Tamandua tetradactyla: one gene and its partner. The protein of the gene in region 2 purifies or fractionates together with the protein of the main gene of each other region. This does not show direct contact. Links are inferred from orthologs where the notes say so. Each region holds a gene or a part of one and is shown on either strand. Other genes may lie near its edges.

Region 1 (7,689 bases), on a different chromosome or scaffold from region 2:
GAAGAAAGGAAAAAGATAAAAAAGTAAGAAGGAAAGGAAGAAAGGGGATGGGATGAAATGAGTGCAAACTTAAAGCCATAAAGGGATAAATAAAATTTCAATTAGTTCTCTGAACCAACCTCTTTAATGAGAACCTTCTCTACCTCCACTGTGAAGGGGTCTGGGGACACACTGAAGGACCCAGCAGGTCCCCCTGTCTTGGGGAACTGACCCTGCAGAAGGCAAGATGGGTGGGGCACTCAGGCGGGGTGAGTACACCCAGTGAGGACGAGGGGCTCCCGACAGCACCCCCCCACCGGTCAGTTTGCATACCCAGGTCACGTCCAGGCCCTTCCCGCTCCTGCCCATCCCACCTCCCTCCCCGGTTCCTCCTTCCCCAGGGGTCCCCCTTTGGATGATGTGTGTGTGTGTCCGCGTGTGCGCGCGTGTGTGTGTGTGCGTGCGTGTGTGTGCGCGTGCGTGCATGTGTGTGTGTGCGTGCGCGCGCGCGCGTGTATGTGCGCGTGTGTGCGTGTATGTGTGTGTGTGTGCGCGCGCGTGCGTGTGCGCATGCATGTGTGCGTGTGTGTGCGCATGTGTGTGTGCGTGCATGTGTGTGTGTGTGTGTGTGCGCGCGCGCGTGTGTGTCCTGGAGAATGGGGCAGGGGTCTGGCCAGGACTGGAAATCAAGGCTTATCTCCAAGGGTCTGGACTCAGGGCTCACACTACGGGAGAATGAGGTAGAGCCTGAACCTGGGTGAAGATATTTGAGGGCTCAGGTCACTTGTGAAGAAGAGAAAAGGGAGAAGAGGGAAAAACAGGACAAACCAGAAATCCAGAAATAGAGGCTCCAGAGATGGGGAGGATGGAGCAGGAAGAGAGATCACACAGCAGAGAGAGAGGAGGGAGGCAGGGGAGGGAAAGAAAGAAAGGAGTAGGGAGTGGGGAAAGCCTAGGGAAAGAAAGAAAAAGAGGAGAAGGAGGCAGGGAGGCTGAGGCATCTTCTCTCTGCTGCCCTCACAGCCTCCTCCGAGGGGTAGTCTGCTGTCTGACTCCATCCCACCCCTCCTCACGCCTCAGTCCACTCCCAGCTGGTTTCCTCGCCCATCACTCTAACAGCTCACACCTAGGTCTCTAGTCCCCGTCATGCTGCTCAATTCGGTGAAGATTTTATTCTTTGTTGTACTAGTTCTCTCTGCAGCATAGAATTCTCTCTCCTTCTAGAACCCTCTCTTTCCTCGGCATTCATGACACCCACACCCCTCTCTTCCTTGCCCTCCTACTTCTCTGGCCACTCTCCCAGTGTCGCATGCTGGGCTCCTCCTCCTCCACCCAACCCTGCAGGCTCCGTCCTAGCCCCTCACCTCTGCTTTCTCCACGCACTGTCCCTCCAGCCCCACGGCTTCAGTCTCCCTGGACTCACGGACCCCGACACCCAAGGGTTTTCTCCCCATTTCCTATTCAGTATCTCACAGGCACCCAACACCCAACAAGGGCAAAACTGAATTCATCTCCCCCTGAACCTGGAAAGGAGGAATGGAGGGACGGAGGAAACTCTCAGAAGGTCCAAGGCCTTGGGTCTGAGGCTGAGGCATAGAAAGCTCCAAGCCCGAATGCTGGAAGCTAAGCTGCTTAGCTAAGGGACCTCAGGGCATAGGCCGTGAAAGAAGAGAGGGCCCACGCACGTGGGGTCTACCCCAGGCCCCTCCACAGGACACCAGGCAGGGCTCCAGGGTGGACGCCCTGGGGAGCTTCACCCCATGGTCTCCACCGCAGCCTCCCTCTTCCACTCCCTCCCTTGCTCTCCTCTCGCTCAGAGGGCTCATCTCCCTTGTCCAGCACCAAGGAGTCAGACCTGCCCCCCCCGCAGGGACTCCACAGGAGCAGGGATGCTGGGGGACACAGCCCTGCCCCTCCTTCTCAGGGGGAGGGGTACACAGGGAAATCTGGAGAGGGAGAGAACTCAGAGCTCAGCACTTTCCTCTTTCTGTTTTTCTTTTTGAGGAATTTTTTTCCTAATGCTGATGACTTTACCATTTCTTCAGGGGGGAGAGGAGATTTTGGCTTTTGCTCACCCCCCGCCCCCAAGTGCCAGACAAAGTCTTACATTCCACCCGAAGCCAGAGCTTCAGAGTTTCCTAAAGATGAGGTGGCGTCTCCTCCCCGATTGGGCCCACGCTCCCCGCCTCCCCACCCCCCACCCCGCCCCCAGTCTCCAGTCCTCAGTCCAGGCCAAGGAGGCCCAGCCAGGCTGGGAGGAGACCCCAAGCACATTCTTCCTCTCACTGTCATGCTGCAAAAATTAAAGACACATCTTCGGGCTGGGTGTCTGCCAAGTGTTTTAAGTCAAAAAGTGGCAAAGGAGAGCCTGGGCTTCAGCTCTTTGCCACGTGTAAAGGATGCTTGGGAACGTCTGCTGCAGCCTCTGGGAGTGAGGCCGGGAACTGGACACTGGCGTGGAAACTGTCACACACCACACTCACAGCCCACTCACTCCTGAGCCCCTGGGTCTCCAAACGCCCCCCAGACCGCCAGACCCATGATGTGGCAGCCCTAAGCCCCACCTCTGAGGCTTGTCTCTTCTTTAAGGTGGGCATGGGCGAGCCCCAGGCGGGGCGCACGGGGAGACAGCTGCAGGCAGGAGCCCTTCTGGCTCCACAGCTTCAGCATTGCGGGGGGGGGGGGGGGGGGGGGTGCGCGGGCCACACCCCTCCTCACGGAGCCCCCCCCCCCCCGACACCCTGCCTGGGTGACCGCCCCAAATGTCAGCTCCCTCTGCTCCCTGGGTGAGGGGCGCGCCCCTTGGGACTGATCCTTAGTGGGGGGCAGGACTACGGGTTGGTCCAACAACGGCCATCTCAGCGCCTCAGGTATCTGGACCTATGCTGCTGTCGCTGGCACTGGGTGGCTGGGGGGAGCAGTTGCTGGGCCACAAGCTGCTGCCACATGGTCAGGATAATTGCTGAAGGTCTGTCCCCCCATTGCTGTCTCCAGCCCTGCCTCTCTGGAAACTATATTTTCCCTTTAATTATAGCCCCTGCAGTCTCCCTCCATTGCCCCACCCGTACCGCTCATCCTGGCTGCCCATGGCCGACGTGGCTCCCTCCCCTTCTGTTCTTTTGGTTTTTTCCCCCCTTTGCCTTCGTTGCACAAAACCAGCTGGGGGAGGGTGTGGAAAGGGGCGGGGTGGGGGGGGGAAGCAATGGAATCTTGGATGGTTTGGGGGAGGCGTGACTCCCCGCTTCCACGTTTGCAGCTCTGAAGCTAGTGGGGGTAGGGGAGTCATGCAGGAGGGAGAGGAGCTGACGGGGCATTGCAGAGGGGCCCCGTTGCCCTCACTTAGGTCCACAGATTGGGCAGGATGATGGGGCCTGGTTAGACTGGAGTTGGTCTAGAACCCTGCTGGGAGGTTAGAATATCTGGGGAAGGCAGACACTTACTTCTGGAGGTATCTCTCCCAAATATAGCCTAGGAAACCACTTCTCATTTCCAAAGTAGCCCCCGACTCCCTTTCAGGGTCCAGATGACTCTTTCCTGGCTCCAGAGGCAGAGAACAATGGTCTGGATTTTAAGGCAGGAGGTGGGGTGATGGGAAACATCTCCATGAGGTCACTCAACCTCTCCTGCATTCCACTTCAAACCTCCCCCAGACACCCCAGGTCTCCCATACACCTGGAACCCTGAGTCCAGGTTCAACCGGAGAAGGGGCTATGCAGCTTCCAGAAGGGGCACCTTCCTTGGTCAAGCATTCTTCACCCAAGTTCTTTCTGGTTTGACTATGCTGGGTGGGAGGGTCTCTAACCAGTCCCTGGCCACAAGCCCCTCACACAATGATTATGGTGTCGCCCCACCCCCCCCAAGCTCACTCCCCAACTCTGGGTGAAGCAGCCCTAGCACACACACCCCAACCCCAGGGCCCCATCACCAAAGCTTCCTTCTGGAGACACCATGTAGTCACATTTCTCACCCAGTGCCTTGGTCTTGCCACTCCATCTCTCACAATCGCGCCCAGGATTTGGGGGAGGACACTGGAGCCCGCCCGTCTTCTAGCCTCAGGCACGGCAGAAGTGACATCCTCAAATGAAAATCCCCTTGGCATCCCCCCCAACCTGATTCTCAGTGTCTAGAATCTCTAACTTGTTCCTCAAATGTTCCCAAGCTCCATACCCCAACCGTACCAGAAGACACCCCAACGAGGGACATCTTTTTAATTCCTTGATTCTCCTCCTTTGGAGAGGTCCCCTGGCTTTTCCCCAGATGTCTCCTTATCTGTGTCGGAAGGTGGATGAGCTGGACCAGGAGGACCTCTCCCAGTCATCCCCAGCCCTCTTACTTTTGGGGGGTTGGCCACCCAGCTCCCCAATTGCCCTTCGGGCCGATTGGGAGTTCCAGAGAGAACAGCAAAGGGGCTCCCCCACCCACTCCTTAGCCCACACTACACTGAGGACCCGGCCGCACCCCAGCGGCGATATCTCTGGCCCAGGCTGGGCTGGGGGGCTGGGGAAGCAGTGCTGCGAAGGGGGGAGATGCGGGGTGGACTCCCTTCCCTTTCCTTCCCTCTTCCTCCCCCTCTCTATTCCAACTCCCGAATCGGGGGCCGGGCCAGGCAGCTGTGATTGGCTGGGGGGCGGGCGGAGGGCTCCCCCTCCCCGACGGTCAGGGTTCCTCCCAGCGTCGGGTCTGGATGGTATAAAAGGGGCCCGGGCTGGCCATCGGAGCAGACGGGAGTTTCTCCTCGGGGTCGGAGCAGGAGGCACGCGGAGTGTGAGGCCACGCATGAGTGGGCGCTAACCCCCTACCCCAGCCGCAAAGAGTCTACATGTCTAGGGTCTAGACATGTTCAGCTTTGTGGACCTCCGGCTCCTGCTCCTCTTAGCGGCCACTGCCCTCCTGACGCACGGCCAAGAGGAGGGCGAAAACCAAGACGAAGACAGTAAGTCCCAAACTTTCGGGAGTACACGGCTGCTTAGTATCGCGCCCTGCGCTCGGCCCCGAGGGTCCGCCACTTAACTTGAGACTCGAGATGTTCTGGATACTTGGGAATGGAAGGGAGATAGTGAGGCACCCTTCCCCGGCGCCCCGGGCGAGAAGGGAGTTCCCCTCGGGGGTGGGAGGTGGGGAGGAACTCCCCTCAGGAGTGGGAGATAAGGATGAAGCGCGGCGCAAACAGGCGCAGGGGGGGAAGTCCCGAGGGCGCACCGCCGAGTGCAATAGGAAAAGTGGGGGGTCTGGCTGCAGGGGGAGTGCGGGACGCGTTGAAAATAGGGTGGGGGCGCCGAACCGGGGGGTTGGAGCCCAAGACGTAAAAGCGATCAGGATGGCTGTGGGATGATTCATAAGGAAAGTTTGTTTGCCCTCTCTGCAGGCTAGACACGCGGGAGGAGGGGGCGCGGAGAGTGGGCGGGCTGGAGGCTGAGAAACTTTGGCGAGGTCTTGGCAAGGTGGGGTCCTTGCGTCCTCTGCTGACCAGTGCTCAGCACTGCGCCTCTCTGTTCAGCGTTTCCGGGCGCAGGTTCCGGGTCGGAAACACAGGGGTTATTGCCAGGCGTGGACTCCATCTCTAGACCCGGAGCAAGAGGCCGGGGACCACATAGCCCTCTGACTCAAAAGAATCCCAGGAAATTGGCCCCGCCACGTCCCCATTGCTTAGAGTTGCCCGCCACCTAGTGGCGGTCTGGGTAGTTGCTTGCGCGGTGGGCGTGGTTAACCAACTGATTCGTTTGCTTGCGGACTTTTCGTTTTTTTGGCTAAGAAGTGACCCAGAGGGTCTGTCTGCCTTTAGGAGACGGAGGTTGGCCTCGAGAGCTCTGAGATGTCTTGGCTCTGGAGATTATGATATATACTAACTCTAGGGTACAATTTCAAGTCTCTGGGTGGGACCCCACTCCTATAAGCCCCTCCCCATTCCTCTAGCTCCGCCCACGCCACCCCACCTGCCCAGGGAACAGGGCGAAATGGGGACTGGAGCTCCCTCCTCTCCTCCCACCCAACCCCCTTACTGTCTCCCCCAAACCACTCCCCGCAAGCCTGCCCTTTGGATAGGACGGTTCCTGTTCTCTCCTCCCCCCACCCACCCCCAACGGCTTTTTATTTCACTTGGCTTCTGCACCAATGGGCTGAGGTTAGAGTTGAGGGCAACCCTCGCCTAAAGTTTTGTTTAAATTCCTGAGAACTGGAAAGAGTTATAGCTATGCTGGCCAGGAGCCTCGGCGTTGTCACTGGCTCTGATGGGGAGCAGATGAGCTTTTAAGGATTTGGAGAAAGGTGGGGGTGGGTGGGGAGGCGGGAGAGTCGAGCATAAGGAGGGAAGTGGAAAATCTAAATGTGTCTCTAGGGTAGAGGGAAAGAGGGTTGGGGCCCCGAGGTGGAAGTCTCGGGCACCCCTGACAGCCCCCCTCTTGCTTCAGTCCCATCAGTCACCTGCATACAAAATAGCATCACGTACAATAACCGAGACGTATGGAAACCTGAGCCCTGCCAGATCTGTGTCTGCGACAACGGCAAAGTGCTGTGTGATGAAGTGAAATGCAGCGAAAGCCAGGACTGTCCCGGCGCCCATATCCCCTTGGGCGAGTGCTGTCCCGTCTGCCCCGATCGCAATGGTAGAGCTCCGGCCCCGGGGCTGGGGGAGGGCGGGGCCGCTCCCTGGCGCTGCGCCTTGCAGGCGTCTGCCTCTAACCCGCCTTGGAGGCGTCTGCCTCTAACCCGCCTCTCATTCTCCCCCTAGAGTCACCTACCGACCAAGAAACCACAGGAATCGAGGTAATCCTTTGCCCTCGAATTTTGCCACCCCACCCGCCGTGATTCCTCACTGCCCGCCCTTCTCTAACTCGACCTCTTTTGTTTCTTCTCCCCCAACCTCATAGGGACCTAAAGGAGACACCGGCCCACGAGGCCCGAAGGTAAGCCTTGCGCAAGCTTGCTCGCTCTCTCTAGCTCTCCATTGGATGGCTGCAGGTGGGCGTGGCCTCTGGCCGACATTCACCCCGCCCCCAAACTCTTCTCCCTTAGGGACCCGCAGGCCCTCCAGGCCGAGATGGTATCCCTGGACAGCCTGGACTTCCCGGACCTCCCGGACCTCCTGGGCCCCCCGGACCCCCTGGCCTTGGCGGAGTAAGTGGAGAGTGGAGGCATCTGGAAGGCTTCTGTCTGCTCCTTTCCCTCTACACTTTTTTTTTTACAGACGAAATAATTTCAAACTTACAGAAAAGTTGCGAAAATAGTGCAAAGACCTCTCATTTTGCACATTTGCTTTATCAGTCTGTATGTATATGCATTATCATTATTTTTTCTGAACCCTTTGAAAATTGGCGGTATCATGCCTCTTTCTTCCAAAATACTTCAGTGTGCATCTCTTAAAAACAAGAGCATTCTCTTACATGACCATAGCACATGACTACATTTAACATAGATACAATACTATTATCTAAAATAGTCTATATTCAAATATCGTCAATGTCCCAGCAATGTCTTTTATAACAATTTTTGTACAATCCAGGATCATGAATTTCATTGAATTGTCATGTCTCTTTAGTTTATTTTAATCTGGGGCATACATCAGCCTTTCTTTGCCTTTCTCAACACTGGTTCTTTCTGAAGAGTATAGGCCAAATGTTTTGTAGATCGTCTCTCAATTTGGGTTTCTCTGAAGTGTCCTCATGATTAGATTCAGGCGATGCACTTTTTTTGCAGGACTATCTCATAAGTGAG
Region 2 (6,891 bases):
CTAGGCGGGAGCATTTTGATTGGTCCCATGGAGATGTGACCCACCCAATTGTGGGTGGTAACTTTTGATTAGATGATTTCCAATGAGATGTGTCTCCATCCATTGAAAGTGGAGTTGCTTACTGTAATCCTTTAAAAGAGGAAATATTTTGGAGAGAGTCCCTTTTGTAGAGCCACGAGAAAGCCAGCAGATGCTGCCATGTTTGCCATGTACGCTTCCAGCTGAGAGAGAAACATGAACTTCATTGGCCTTCTTGAGCCAAGGTATCTTTCCCTGGATGCCTTTGATTGGACATTTCTATAGACTTGTTTTAATTGGGACATTTTCTCGGACTTAGAACTGTAAACTAGCAACTTGTTAAATTCCCTTTTTTAAAAGCCATTCTGTTTCTGGTATATTGCATTCCGGCAGCTAGCAAACTAGAGCACCTTGCAACAGGATTCTGGAGGCTCTCCATCTCTCCCTGGCTCTGGAATACAATGGTTCTCTGAGAGAATGCTTGTGTTCCTTCTCCAGGCCAACAACACTTCATGTTTGGATGCCCAATGTCACAGCTTTTTGCAGTCAGCTTGTCCTGACCCTAGACACAGTTACTTCTCAGGACCTGCTGACCCAGAGTGCTGGGCAGGACTCATTCCAACACTCAGTGCATCTCTAACCCAAATCCACCTTTTTCCCATCCTCTTCCCTGAGATGAGGCAGCTCCTTATTTAACTGTTGGTACAGAAAAGTTCTCATTATACCTTCTCTTGAAGGGATCCTGGCTTTTTGAAAGGAAGAGGGTGGTCTCTACTGTCCTAGCTCCTACTAATATGGTGACATCCCAGGCAGCAATCAATCTGATCCTCACCCTCTTGGTGACGATCAAGTCACACAGATTCTCTCGCCGTTATGGGTGAGTATGGGAGATGTCGGGTGTGTGGAATTCAGCCCCCACCAGACACTTAGGACTCTCATCCCAACCAGTGGAGGCTGAGTCTGCACAGCTATCAACCTAGCCCTGGAAGGGGCAGTGGGAAAGGATTTTGAAGATTCTATGGCTTTAGGAAAACGGCCACCCAAGGCATGAATCTGTCTCATGGGCCCCGCTCCAGCATTCTTCTGGTGGACCTCAAACAGCCTCACAAAGCTTCACCCCCGAAGACCTGGCTCCAGCTCTTCCTGCTGTAATCCCCATGGCCCCCTGCACCTGGATTCCCAGACCCCTGGGCCAGCTGGCAGCTGCTGGACTCCTCTGCCTGTGGCATGTCTCTGCCCCACAATCCCAGCAACCCGGGTGGCCAGGCTCACACCAAGTGGCCACAGCTGGAGAGTCCGGCAGCCAGGCCCAGAGGTCAGGTCAACCTGAACAGTCCCCGCCAGCCTGTGACAGCCAGGAGAGGCACCGCAGTCACCACTGGGCAGTAACTACAGGAGCGTGTTGCAGGAGAATGGGCCAGCCAGAGGAGATAGAAAGGGTGGAGCCAGGGGCATGCTGGAGATAGGCCTATGCCAGCTGAACTCCTGAGGGAGCTTTGCTGCCTCCACCAAGCTACACTGTGGCCCCTTGGGGACAGATGACAGCAGCTTAGTGTATACCAGTGATCCTGGCGGCTGGGAACTCTGGAGATCCACCCTGAGGACAACGGCCAGGCATCCTGGAATTTAAATCTTTGCAGTGATCTCCACCTGAAGCTACACATTTTGCATATATGTTACAAATGTTTTCTATTCAACACAGCCCTAAAACAGCACCTGGCGCAAGGGAGGCTCTCAAAAATATCTACTGAATAAACGAACTAACAAAAGCATAAATAACACGTGCCATAACTCTTGAAACATTATTTTCACATTTCTTCCATTTTCATTTTACTGGGGGCCTAGAAATAGGGTAAGTGGCCTGGACCTCTCCAGGCCTCTGAATGGCCTACATGTAAGTTCCAGCAGCCTAGACACAAGGAGTGTCCTCAACCAGGAAATCTGACCGCCCTGGCCAGGCCACTGCAGCGCGTGGGGTCCGTGGATGTGTGAACGGGGGTGGCGCTAAAGCTGTGCTGTGGACAGTGGGCCAGCCGGGCCCTGTCGTGTGACCCAAGCTGACAGACGAGCGGCCACAATTGTGTGAGGAACTCCAGATGCAGCTGGAGTTCTGTGCTGCATCCAGGCATGTTTTCTCTTTGTCCCCCTTGCACTTTTGGTTGAGTCTTACCAGCACCAGTAGCCTCATCTCTCTCTCCTGGGCTGCGAAGGGCAGGGTCCTATACCCCTGCTTTTGTCTGAGCACGGTCAAAGTTCAGGGCAGGACCAAGACTGTCCAGGGCCCGGGATGAGCACAGCCCAGCGGCCTGTAAAGCAGGCGCCTTCTCCTCACAGGGACTAGGGGCTGGCGGGGCCTCCAGCTACAGGGCGAGCTGGAAGCCTGAGAACCACTGGGATGGGTCTCTACCCAGGGGCTCCAGGTGGAAGGGGGAAGTTGGCGGGGATGCTGGGCAGGCTGCCTGCACCCTCACCTAGGCTCCCTCACCTGCATGAGGGTGGGGGCCCTGCGAGGACGGGGAGGGGTCTCCTGCGGGGCAGGGGCGGGGCTCTCGGGGCCTCTGGAAGCTGTCTCCCTGAGGCCTCAGTTGCACAACACTCACAGGGCCACACTGCCGGCGCTGACAGGCTGTTCTACCACTTCCGTGCCTGGGCTGGGAGGGGCCCCTCTGGCTCTCCCCGCTGTGCGGGGCCATTTCTCCCAACACCCTCCACTCCCAGGCCACGGGGCAGGGCCTCGCTGGGCTCAGCTGGGCAAACCTGTCCCCACCCTGCTGTGTGGCAGCCCCTTGGTTGGGTCCCAGAGCAGACGGGTTTTCTCTGTGAAAACAGAGATGAAGCAGGTCTGACGAGGATGCCGTGGGGAGGGCACAGAAGGTGGGGACAGGTCTGCTCCCGGCCACAGGGGCATGGCTTCATGTCGCCAGCATGGGTCTGAGCCCCAGCCCTGGCACTCAAGAGCCGTGTGAGGTTGGGGAAAAGGGGACTTACTCACCCCCTGAGGCTCAGTTTCCTGAAGTGAATCAGATCTACTTTCCCTCTCAGGGAAGCCAGTTGTGTCTGCTCTGGGACCTGGCTCAGGACCAGCAGTCAGGCTCCTGCTGGCAGAATCCGCCGCGCTCCCCTTCGGGCCCTCAAAGACCGGCTCCCTCCATGGCGCCCGGCCTCCCAGCCCCCCAAGGAGGCATGGCAGCCAGGGGCCCCCACCATGCCCTCTGCACCTAGTTGGCCAGTTGTAGGCTGGGCACCCAACAAGTATTTGTTGAGGGATCGAATGGCACAGGCCTGAAGCTAGGAAACTCCCTTTGTCCCAGGCACGCCCTCCACTGTGTGTTTTGTCACACCAAATACAGATAAAACGCCAGCTTTGTTGCTACCTTGACTGAGTCCCTCCTCCCAGAGGTTCCTAGGAGTCAGCCCCATCCCACCCACAGGCTGCACCCTCTGACTTTTGGACTTTGCCTGGAGCCCTGCCCCCACCCCACCCCACTTCCTCCACCCCTTTTAGAGCCTGCTCAGGGCCTGGGGTGGTCCAAGACCCCAGCATACTCCAGCACCAAAGGGGCAAGGCCCAGCTTTGTAGGAGCACACACGGCTCCTCCATCCAGCTCTGTCCTTGGGACTCACAGGCTCTCCACCTAGAGAGCAGTCCCCTGGGTGGCAGAGGCCAGGAAGCCCAGAGGTGGGCCAGACGGGCCTCACAATGGTGGGGGATTCTCCAGTTGTCTCCTCTGAGGCCCTGGGGAATTCAGGCTTTGGGCTGGGAAGGGACAGGACTGGACCTTGAAGGAGGGAGGTATAGGCTCCAAGGAGCTGAGCTTGAGCGGGGCAGACCCCACCCAGAGATGTATGGCCAGGGGGTTAGGGAAACGCAAGGCAGGGTCTGAGTTCTCTGGCCAACCCCATTTCCCTGCAGGGAGGCATCCTGGAGTGTGCACTGCCCCTTTAGCCCCACCCCGTCTCCCACCCAGGACTGCTCCCACTCCCGGGTTGGTCCTGGGTTGACCTTGCCCTCAGCCTGACATTGCTGCACTGCCCCCTCTCCCCAGGCTCAGCCCAAAGGCATCTCCCAAGGGTGCCTGCTCCTGCTGGAGCCTGCCAACCCAGCCTGCCCTGTGAGGAAAGAGATCCGTGGCTTCTCCTGACCTTGAACAGGCCTGACCCCATAGCGAGGGTGTGGGCATCACGCCTGGAGCCACTTGGGGCTCCCCTGAAGGACACGGCCAATGGGTGTGGCCTCCTAGGTGGTGGGAGCAGAAGTCCTTGCCCACCTATTCCCCTCATTGCCTCCCTGGCCAAGGAGGAGATGAGATAATTTACATAACAGTGATAATGTTAATCATGAGAAATGTTTCTAAACTTCTGTGTGCCGGACTCTGTGCTGGGAGCTGGAGAAACATAAGTAAATAAGAGAGACACAGACCAACCCCAGCCTGGGCCGGCACAGGCCTTGGCAAATGGAGAGCACTCAATACGGATTTGTTGAATGAATGAAGAACGCATGAAATGAGCTGTCTGGTTAGCCCCAGCAGCTCAGATGGTGGGCTGGGCAGTGAACAGGTGACGGCCGCCAGCGTGGAGGGGACACATGACCCGATTACCCGGCCCACACCATGGAGAAGCTTCTGGAGCTGTGACTGCCTGTGGCTTGGAGCCCCAGCATCACGCACCCAGCCGCCCAGGAAACCCCCAAGACCCCACACGACAAGCACATAAGTAGGGAAAGGGTTCCTGGCAGAAGTATTGGGGAGGAGTTGGAGAAGCCAGAGAACCTGCAGCTGGTCTGACCTGTGGTCCAGGACCCCAGCATACTCGAGGAATGGGCCTACGGTGTAGGCTGTAGGAAGGGCTGCCCCAGACCCCAGCAGCATAGCCTGGCCCGGGCGCCAACCCTGGGAGAGGGCACAGTTAGAAGTGGGCCTCTGATGTGCTCTCACATCAGGATTGTCTTCAAGAGCCCACAGTAAAGGGTGGCTGGCCTAGACCTCACATCCCACATCAGCCCGATGGGCCCCAGAAACTGCACAATGAAAAGGAAATTTTAGGTACCAGATTCTAGAGAGGTACTCACCACCCCACCTTTATGCCCATCCTGTGAGAGAAGCTGTTGGAGGTGGACTGCCCTGCTCAGAGGTTGGGCAACCAGGAAGGTCACCTTCGGGGGGAACCATTTTTGGACCCCTCCCCAGACAGAAGTAAACAGGAAAGCAGTGGGGGGATTGCAAGGTGGGTAGGGGGATTTCAGCAGTTCCTGGGGTTGTGTAAATTGGGAGAAGGAAGCACCTGAGGGGAAGTTTCAGGAATCCACTGTGGGATGCCCTGGGTAGAAGGGCTCACCACCCCACCTGCAACTAAAGCTCTGCACCATTTAGCGCCTCCGACTACCAGCCATGCTGTGCACCTAGCTAAGTGTTGTTTGCTCCCCTCCCCCATCCCATTCAGTGGAATCAAGTCCTGGGGTACTTTGGCCCGAGGGCCTCAGAAAAGACATCCAGAAACTAACTCTCCCACTGGCCCTTCTACCTCTGTCCCCATGGGACCCAAACCTGAAAGAAGCTGAGCAGAAACCTGCTCCGTCACACAATGCTGGGAGCCCAATGGCCAGCACTGTGTGAGCCCAGACACCCCACCAAACACACACATCTGCCACACACACACCTACCACACACACCTGCCACACACACACCGCTCAGGCCGTTCTTTCCCAGCTGAGCAGACAGCTGCAGTCTGCCTCCCACAGAGGCACCCGCATCCCACCTTGAAGGGCCCCTCATCTGGCCCCCTGCCCTGGGCTTGGACCCCACAAGGAGCTCTCCTCGTTGGAGGGTATGAGAGACCTGGTGGGTGCATCTCGCCCCACAGCCTATAAGCCTTGTCAGGGTCTGGAAGAGCACACAGTGTCACCCTGATGTGGCCAGATACAGGTGCCCAGGAGAGCCAGAGAAGGGAAGGCAGGGCCCCGGCCAGACAGCAGCACCTGCGAACACTGCCCAAGGACCTCCCGTGAAGAGTGGTCAAGAGTAGAGACCAGGAAAGGCCCCAAATGAAGGAGTGAATGCGCTTCCACTCCCCTCACTGTGGTACTGTGACACTGGCGCCAGCCGCCGTAGCTACTCTACTTCACGGAAGCCTGGGGAAACAAAGCCCCTTGCAAAGGAGGAGAGAGGGGGGCTGTCCACAACTGGGAGGATGACCTAGGAGGGAAAGGCCAAACAAGACCCCAGTGTCCTGGGATAACGGAGACACCTTGCTTCTCGACTCAAGTCAGGGGTCACCTCCTCCCGGCAGCCTTCCTGGCCTTCCCAAAGGGGATCCCTTTCCGTCCCCACTCCCAGGTTTGGTCCTGCCTGCCGTTTTCCTGGGTCTGTGTCCCCGACCCAGCTTGCGAGGGCTGTTTAGAAATTTGCGGGCCAGAACCTTGAAAAGGTTTCTAAGCAAGGCGAGGCCCCATCCCCCAGCAGGGCAGCTCCTCCATCCCTCCTCGGGCAGGGGCGCCGCCCCATAGAACGACTTCAAAGGGCCTAGTGCTTTGAGCTTCCGCGGTCGGGCTCAGGTCCACGGCCCGCGGGGCAGAAGCCCGGGTGGGGGGGATTCCGGGCTGCGGGCGGCCGGGGCTGAGGGGCGGGTCCTCAGAGCCCCCCGAGGTGGGCGGGGCGGGCCGGGCCGCGGGGCCAATCGCGGCGCGCGGGCAGCGGGGCGGGGGCCGGGGCGACGGGGGCGGGCGGCCCGGGGGCGGGGCCCGGGCGGCGGCGACGACGGCTCCTCAGTGTCCGGCTCCGGCTCCGGCTGCGGCTCCGGCCCGCGATGCCCCACTCGGTGACCCTGCGCGGCCCTTCGCCCTGGGGCTTCCGCCTGGTGGGCGGCCGAGACTTCAGC

The links. The genes of interacting proteins can lie anywhere in the genome.
Region 1: the proteins of P4HA2 (region 2) and COL1A1 purify together in Homo sapiens (co-immunoprecipitation; 3 studies listed by BioGRID and IntAct, counting the BioPlex papers as one, with this or other methods). This does not show direct contact. The link is inferred for Tamandua tetradactyla from reciprocal best matches to the Homo sapiens genes P4HA2 and COL1A1.

Annotation. Positions count from the first base shown.
Region 1 is NC_135332.1:31,352,345-31,360,033, reverse strand, and holds the start of COL1A1 (collagen alpha-1(I) chain), read left to right. Parts: upstream 1-4,671; 5' UTR 4,672-4,815; coding exon 4,816-4,912; intron 4,913-6,386; coding exon 6,387-6,581; intron 6,582-6,706; coding exon 6,707-6,741; intron 6,742-6,845; coding exon 6,846-6,881; intron 6,882-6,990; coding exon 6,991-7,092; intron 7,093-7,689. UniProt on the Homo sapiens protein: Type I collagen is a member of group I collagen (fibrillar forming collagen).
Region 2 is NC_135346.1:10,879,944-10,886,834, forward strand, and holds the start of P4HA2 (prolyl 4-hydroxylase subunit alpha-2), read right to left. Parts: upstream 3,017-6,891; 5' UTR 3,011-3,016; intron 1-3,010. Other genes in the region: PDLIM4 (PDZ and LIM domain protein 4), read left to right, coding at 6,820-6,891. UniProt on the Homo sapiens protein: Catalyzes the post-translational formation of 4-hydroxyproline in -Xaa-Pro-Gly- sequences in collagens and other proteins.